Arabidopsis thaliana: one gene and its partner. The protein of the gene in region 1 binds, or shares a complex with, the protein of each later gene. Each region holds a gene or a part of one and is shown in the gene's direction. Other genes may lie near its edges.

Evidence for each region.
Region 2: VRN2 (region 1) and SWN share a complex: the UniProt entries of both Arabidopsis thaliana proteins name them as parts of the plant homeodomain / polycomb repressive complex.

What each region holds. Positions count from the first base shown.
Region 1 is NC_003075.7:9,473,927-9,477,679, forward strand, and holds the start of VRN2 (VEFS-Box of polycomb protein), read left to right. Parts: upstream 1-2,142; 5' UTR 2,143-2,281; intron 2,282-2,614; 5' UTR 2,615-2,781; coding exon 2,782-2,907; exon of another isoform or gene 2,908-3,077; coding exon 3,078-3,133; intron 3,134-3,303; coding exon 3,304-3,371; intron 3,372-3,468; coding exon 3,469-3,521; coding exon of another isoform or gene 3,522-3,543; intron 3,544-3,738; coding exon 3,739-3,753. Other genes in the region: AT4G16835 (Tetratricopeptide repeat (TPR)-like superfamily protein), read left to right, coding at 1-396, 467-877; AT4G16840 (uncharacterized protein), read left to right, coding at 988-1,234, 1,423-1,439. UniProt on the Arabidopsis thaliana protein: Polycomb group (PcG) protein. Plays a central role in vernalization by maintaining repressed the homeotic gene FLC, a floral repressor, after a cold treatment.
Region 2 is NC_003075.7:884,810-888,562, forward strand, and holds the start of SWN (SET domain-containing protein), read left to right. Parts: upstream 1-1,770; 5' UTR 1,771-1,883; coding exon 1,884-1,919; intron 1,920-2,170; coding exon 2,171-2,290; intron 2,291-2,390; coding exon 2,391-2,656; intron 2,657-2,796; coding exon 2,797-2,955; intron 2,956-3,208; coding exon 3,209-3,293; intron 3,294-3,396; coding exon 3,397-3,540; intron 3,541-3,628; coding exon 3,629-3,676; intron 3,677-3,753. Other genes in the region: AT4G02010 (Protein kinase superfamily protein), read left to right, coding at 33-413. UniProt on the Arabidopsis thaliana protein: Polycomb group (PcG) protein. Catalytic subunit of some PcG multiprotein complex, which methylates 'Lys-27' of histone H3, leading to transcriptional repression of the affected target genes, mainly abscisic acid (ABA) responsive elements.

The sequences.
Region 1 (3,753 bases):
GTTGCGGTTTTACTGGCCTGTAACCATGCTGGACTAGTGAATATTGGGATGGCATATTTCGAATCGATGGTGAGAGATTATAAGGTAGAACCGCAGCCTGATCATTACACGTGTATGGTTGATCTTTTGGGTCGGGCTGGGAAGCTGGAGGAGGCATTGAAACTGATAAGATCAATGCCGTTTAGACCTCATGCTGCGGTCTTTGGGACGCTCTTAGGGGCTTGTAGAGTGCACAAGAATGTGGAATTGGCTGAATTTGCAGCTGAGAAACTGCTTCAGCTAAACTCGCAAAATGCAGCCGGGTATGTGCAGCTTGCGAATATCTACGCATCGAAGAATCGTTGGGAAGACGTTGCAAGGGTTCGCAAGAGAATGAAAGAGAGCAATGTTGTGAAGGTAGAGCGAGTCAAAGTTCGATTCTTTATTCGAGTTACAAGACTCTAATGTATTTACTTGACTGTTTCAGGTACCTGGATACAGTTGGATCGAAATACGAAACAAAGTTCACCATTTCAGATCAAGTGATCGGATTCACCCTGAACTAGACTCAATACACAAGAAACTGAAGGAGTTGGAGAAGAAGATGAAACTAGCTGGATACAAACCGGAACTAGAGTTTGCTTTACACAATGTAGAGGAAGAGCAAAAAGAGAAGCTATTGTTATGGCACAGCGAGAAGTTAGCTGTTGCATTTGGTTGCATAAAACTCCCTCAAGGTTCACAGATACAAGTGTTCAAGAACTTGAGAATCTGTGGTGATTGTCATAAAGCAATCAAATTTATCTCGGAGATAGAGAAACGAGAGATCATTGTAAGAGACACCACAAGGTTTCACCATTTCAAAGATGGGTCTTGCTCTTGTGGCGATTACTGGTGAAAAGAGAAGAGCTTTGACTCTCTCATTGGTCAAACCTGACTGTATTTATATGCGTTATTGTGTGGTAAAGTTTCGACCTTTGACTTGACAAGTTGCCGTTAAGAAGAGAGATGCGTAGATCAGCGAGTGGTTCTAGAGTTTTGGATCATTTTCCGGCGACTTCAAGGTCTCCGCCTCGATCTCAGAGTGTTACAGCAATGGAAGATGATGTGGAGCTGCTTTTGCCTAGGTACGATCCGAATTCTCAAGCGGGGAAGAGAGAGAAATCAAGATTCAGATTTTCAGAAAACGTCATCCATTTGATTCCTCTCATTCTTCTTCTCTGTGTCGCAATCCTCTGGCTCTCCTCTTACTCAGGTAAGCCGAGAAATTGTTTCAATCTCTATGAATCCATAATTGATCTGTGAAACTTAATTAGGGATTTTACAAAGACTCATATGGATATGAGGATCGAGATGTCTCTGCAACGTTAGAATCTTGTGTTGAATTATGGTTTCAATTTGTTCATATAATACTAAATCGGTGATGGATTTGGAATTTGTCAGCAGCGTTAAGGAGTTGAGTTCCAAAAGCAACATGTTGTCTTGTCTCCATGGGAACTCATATTCAGTTTTGGGAAAGGAAACAATTCTTTTACCGCCGGTGATTTTGTGCCGCAAACCATTCGTATTTGTAATTTTTGGTTCTGTAGACACACAAAAGGATCTCTCGTTTTCATGAAATGTATGTTTAATATTTCAGTGATATACATCACACAACTCAAGTAGAAAACACTGATGGTTATCCATTAATCATTCTATTGGTCGAAAAAAAGATTAGTTTCAACTTAATGCCACCTTAGGATTATATGTTCCTGTGAGTTTCAGCTAGCCAACTCAACTAGAGTTAAACAATGGAATCAAAATACATATTCAGTAATTTATTTTAAACTCTGACTATTTATGTAAAACACAAATGGAAATCAAAATTGAAGGTCATGAAGATTCTATTCTTAGTGTGAAAAGTATAGATCAATGATTCTTAATTTCTTCATCCTCCACGCATAGATCAATGGTGAATATGGTTTTAAATCCTCTAATACTCACTGTACTGCCATGGTAGAGTTAAAAAAACAATTTTAGAAATATTAGTGGATTAAGGCATTAAGCTGTCCAAGTTGCTTGTATTTTCTTTTCATTTTATTAATTAAAAAAAAAGTTCAACTATTTATTGACTAATAATAATACGTGTTAAATGGTTATCGGTTTAAAATATGGGCCATAGGCCCAGACTTGAAGAAAAACTTGAAACCCAAAGTTTTATTTTTACTTGTTTTCTTTCTCAGTGAATATCTCCCAATCAAGCTTCTTCAATTTTGCTTGCTCTCTCTCTTACACGGCCAATCGGTGTTTTCGCAGCTTTCAGGTTTGTCTCAATCTCAAATTAAATCGGAGTCAAGTAATAACAATTGATAACCCTAATTGTTTCAATTATATTGTAAGATTTGAAATTTTGCAGTAGATCCGGAATCGTATTCTAGTTCTGGAATCGTTGATCTCGATGGAATTTTTTTTAAGATTTCTTCATACACATTTGGTTCAAAAGATCACATAATTTTATTTTAATTTGATAAGTATGATGATTCTGCTAAGTGGCATTGGATAAAGTTTTCATTTTTGCAATACGTCTAAACTTGTCTATGTCTTGAATGAACTCTCTGAGTTGCTTAAAAAGTCTTGTGCTTTCTTTATTACACAGGCCTCAATACAAGACATTCTATATAAGCATATTGCAGAAGAGGCGGTTCTAATTGTTGCATGGAGTTGAACAATATGACGTAGGGAAATTCTAATTTAGGGGAGGCCTCAGAGTTTGCACTAACTTCATAATCAGCTCTGGACGTTGTTGATTGTATTTGAACAAGAATGTGTAGGCAGAATTGTCGCGCGAAATCCTCACCGGAGGAAGTGATTTCAACTGATGAGAATCTCTTGATATATTGTAAACCTGTTCGACTATATAACATCTTTCACCTTCGCTCTCTAGGCAACGTATGATTTGGCCTTCCTCTCTCATCATTTTAGCTTAGTAATCTTTCATCTCCTGTGTAGATCACCCACTAATAGTTTGAGTTTGCTAAGCTGATTATGGTCTGACTCATGGCGAGTGTGTGCTTCTTTTGTCTCCTAATGTTATTTGAACTTGTTGTTTGTTGTTGCAGCCATCGTTTCTGCCAAGATGCTTGAACTACAAAATTGGGGCAAAGCGCAAAAGAAAGTATGCGTTTCTTCTTGAATGTAGTTGCCACAGTGATATGTTATTTATCTTACTTCTAATATGGAAGCTGATGAACTATTTATCTTTGTTGAGTAGATATGGACATAATGAATGGTTTCTTCTTTGTTCATGCTATACACTTATATTTTACAAAATTGTGTTTTGCTTAGGTCAAGATCTACTGGGATGGTAGTTTTCAACTATAAGGATTGTAATAATACATTACAAAGAACTGAAGGTTAGTCTTTTTCTGTTCTTCGACAAAATTCGATGTCAATGTCTATGTTTCTCTAGATGATTTGTTATTTACTATTTTTTTCTGTATTGTCACGCAGTTAGGGAGGATTGTTCTTGTCCATTTTGCTCTATGCTATGTGGTAGCTTCAAGGTGGGCAACTATTACAACTGAGGTTTCTTCCGGGGCCTTTCATATCTAACACTGTGAAATGCTACTGCCGTTTAATGCTATATACTTTCACTGTTTGGTTACATATTTTTGTGTTTGTTGTTTGTCTTCTTGCTCTTTTTAAACTGCTGAGTGTGTGCTTATCTGAGAAAACATGTTCCAGTTCGAGCTTACAATCCATTGTCTTGTGTCTATGCAGGGGCTGCAATTTCAT
Region 2 (3,753 bases), 8.6 Mb from region 1:
TCTCGAATGTAAAAATTTGATTCTGGATGCAGACAAGGCCAGTTTTAAGAGACAAAGACCGGTTAGAAGAACTAGTCGATTCAAGACTTGAAGGAAAATACCCGAAAGAAGATTTCATAAGAGTATGCACAATCGCTGCAGCTTGTGTTGCACCTGAAGCTAGCCAGAGACCAACGATGGGCGAAGTGGTTCAGTCACTTAAAATGGTTCAACGGGTGGTTGAGTATCAAGACCCGGTTTTAAACACTTCAAATAAAGCTCGTCCTAACCGGAGACAATCATCAGCTACGTTCGAGTCAGAAGTAACCTCTTCTATGTTCTCTTCTGGTCCTTATTCTGGTCTAAGCGCTTTTGATCATGAAAATATTACACGAACAACTGTTTTCTCAGAAGATCTTCACGAAGGCCGATGATAGAAGCCAGGGTTTTCTTCTTTTTATTTGTTTTTCTCCCACTTACGGTGAGAAAATTTCCACCAGAGAAGCTTTTGAGTTTGGGACATTATTACAGCTCTTTGGATTTTGGATTCTCCTTTATTGGAGGATAGAATTTTGTATATATTTTTGCGTTAATTAATTAATATTTGCCACAACCATCAGATATACAAATAGAATTTGAATATACTTTTTCCAATATAAAAAAACTATGTACAGGTGATTAGTTTGTACTGTTAATTTTTAAAGGCTTTTTACAGTAAAAGTTTTTACAGCTAAAAGTAACAGTATAATACTTTTTTTTTATGGAATAATCTAAATAAAATATAATCTGTTGAAAAACTAATATTTTAAATATAATTTTTATGGTATCAAACCAATATTTAAAGTAATTCCTTTCTTATTAGTTAAAATCACAGTTTTTATTATTATTATTTTTGATAGTGGTTATGTTCAGGAAAGGACTGTCATACATTCAGGATGGATTTACAGAGATTGCAATGGATGTTTCCTTAGTTCAGGGCGTGCTCAACTTCAATCGTCACAATTATCTCTTCAAGCAGAGGCTCTCGGATTTCTTCATGCCCTTCAAGTGACTTGGTCCCGAGGACTACATTATGTACTTATGTGTGGTTTGAGAGCGATAATGCAGAGCTAGTAAATCTGATCAATACGCAGAGTGATCATAATAAGATCATCACTCTTCTTTATGATATTCGTTATTGGATGGTGAAGCTTCCGTTCTCTTCCTTAGCACATGTTAATTGGGAAAGAAATGCAGCTGCGGACATCTTATCTAAAAAGGCTCAGTTAATTAATTCTCTGTACCACCATTATGGTTAGAAAGATATTTGTATCTCCCTTTACAAGTTTATAAGAAGCATACATATGTTAAAAAAAAAAAATCTTTACAGTTTAAATCTTTACGCTCAGAGATTTTTACTTTACAGCTAATATTCTTAGCCTCAATGGCTAGTATTGTTAACGTCAAAGTTTCTAAAGCCACACAAATCATAGTAGTTACCTTTAAGATAAAATACAATTATAATCACAAATATCTTAATATTTTTACGTTCAGAGTTTATTACTTTACAACTAATACTTATCTCAAACGTAACTGCTATAACCTGTGTGGCTCTAGAGACTTTGACGTTAATAATATTAGCCATTATTAGCCTCAACGGCTCCAGAGCCAGGCATGTCGTAATAGTTATCTTTAAGATAACATACAATTATAATCACAAATAGAAAATAATTGTCGCAAAACCACTAATTAAATTACACACGTATAAGCACTATTCATTCACACGTGTGGCGTTCTTTGTATGTAATGTAACCCCCCTTCCAGTCCACACTCCGTTCGTCCTTCTCACAAGTCTGATTGCGGAAAAAGCAGAGAGAGAGAGAAAGTTCGAGCGGAAGAGAAGCGGAAAGCTCGAGGAGTCATCAATGGTGACGGACGATAGCAACTCCTCTGGACGAATCGTACTCAGATTTACCTTTCAATCTCCTCTTTTTTTTTTTTTTTTGATTTATTATCTGATTTTGCTCGTATGCGCATGATCATTCGCGTTTTTTCAGCTGATTGTTCGTGAAATCCGTTTGAGTTCATCAAATTATAATCGCTCTCTTACTTTTGTTCACTGTTGGAGTTGATGGACCTTATAGAATTAGTGTTTTTCCTCGTTGCTTTTGTTTTTTACACGATTTTTGTTTTGATTTGGGCTTCTGAATAGAAGTCTCATGTAGATGATGATGATGATGGTGAAGAAGAAGAAGATAGACTCGAGGGTTTGGAAAACAGATTAAGTGAGCTTAAAAGGAAAATTCAAGGAGAAAGAGTTAGGTCTATTAAAGTAAGAGAGTTTCTATACTTGATGTTCTTTACTAATTATACTAATGTCTAAAAAATTTGAAATCATTTATCCGTTTTTGATTGTTTTCCTGGGAATGTAGGAGAAATTTGAGGCTAATAGAAAGAAAGTGGATGCTCATGTTTCTCCCTTTTCATCTGCTGCATCGAGCCGAGCTACCGCAGAGGATAATGGAAATAGCAATATGCTTTCTTCGAGAATGAGAATGCCACTCTGCAAGTTAAATGGTTTTTCTCATGGTGTGGGAGATAGAGACTATGTTCCTACTAAGGATGTTATATCAGCAAGTGTCAAGCTTCCTATTGCTGAGAGAATACCGCCATACACTACCTGGATATTTTTGGACAGGCATGCACCTTTTCTAGTTCTCATTTTTGCGTTGGTAGCATGCTATTCTAAATTCAGTTGAACAATAGACTAGAACATCAAATTCAGTTTTCATATTATGTGTTGTTTTTCTTTTCTGAAAAAATATCTTAACCATGCAGAAATCAAAGAATGGCTGAAGATCAGTCTGTGGTTGGTCGAAGACAAATCTACTATGAACAACATGGTGGTGAGACGCTAATATGCAGCGATAGTGAGGAAGAACCAGAACCTGAGGAGGAAAAACGTGAATTTTCCGAGGGTGAAGATTCCATTATATGGTTAGTTTTGCAGAGAGTGTAAATTATGGACTCTCATGTACTCTGATGGGGAAAAATTGTGATACTGGTATTTGAAGAAGTACCTGGGTGGAATTTATTAACCAATGAATCACATTTGTTGATGCTAAAAAAAGATGTCATATTTCGTATTCATATCAAATTTCATTCTGTAAGACTCTTCATTAGCATTAGGTTTGAAATATATCTCACTATATATGAATTTCTTCATACCTCGTTTGACTTGAATTGGCAGGTTAATTGGGCAGGAGTATGGCATGGGTGAGGAAGTGCAGGATGCCCTTTGCCAGTTGCTAAGCGTAGATGCTTCTGATATCCTGGTGCAGTTTTTAGTCATCTTGTTCTTGTGGTTTATCTAATGATGTTTTTCTGGTCTTCCTATTCTTCTTCACTAATGATGTTTGGCTTTCCTGTCTGCTGCAGGAAAGATACAATGAGCTCAAGTTGAAGGATAAGCAGAATACCGAGGAATTTTCTAATTCCGGATTCAAGCTGGGAATATCTCTGGAAAAGGGCCTTGGTGCAGCTCTAGATTCTTTTGATAATCTTTTCTGCCGCCGTTGCTTGGTACTTGGATTGTTCTTTGTGACAGAGAGAGCATGTATTATTAAGTGTTTGTTAATCATGTTAATCCTTCTTTGGTTATTTCTAACAGGTATTTGACTGTCGTCTGCATGGATGTTCTCAGCCTTTGATTAGTGCTGTAAGCTTGAATTTGTCTTTACTTTCTTTAGTTGTATTGCTAAAGTTTCAGTGGACAACATAACAAGAGAACTTTGG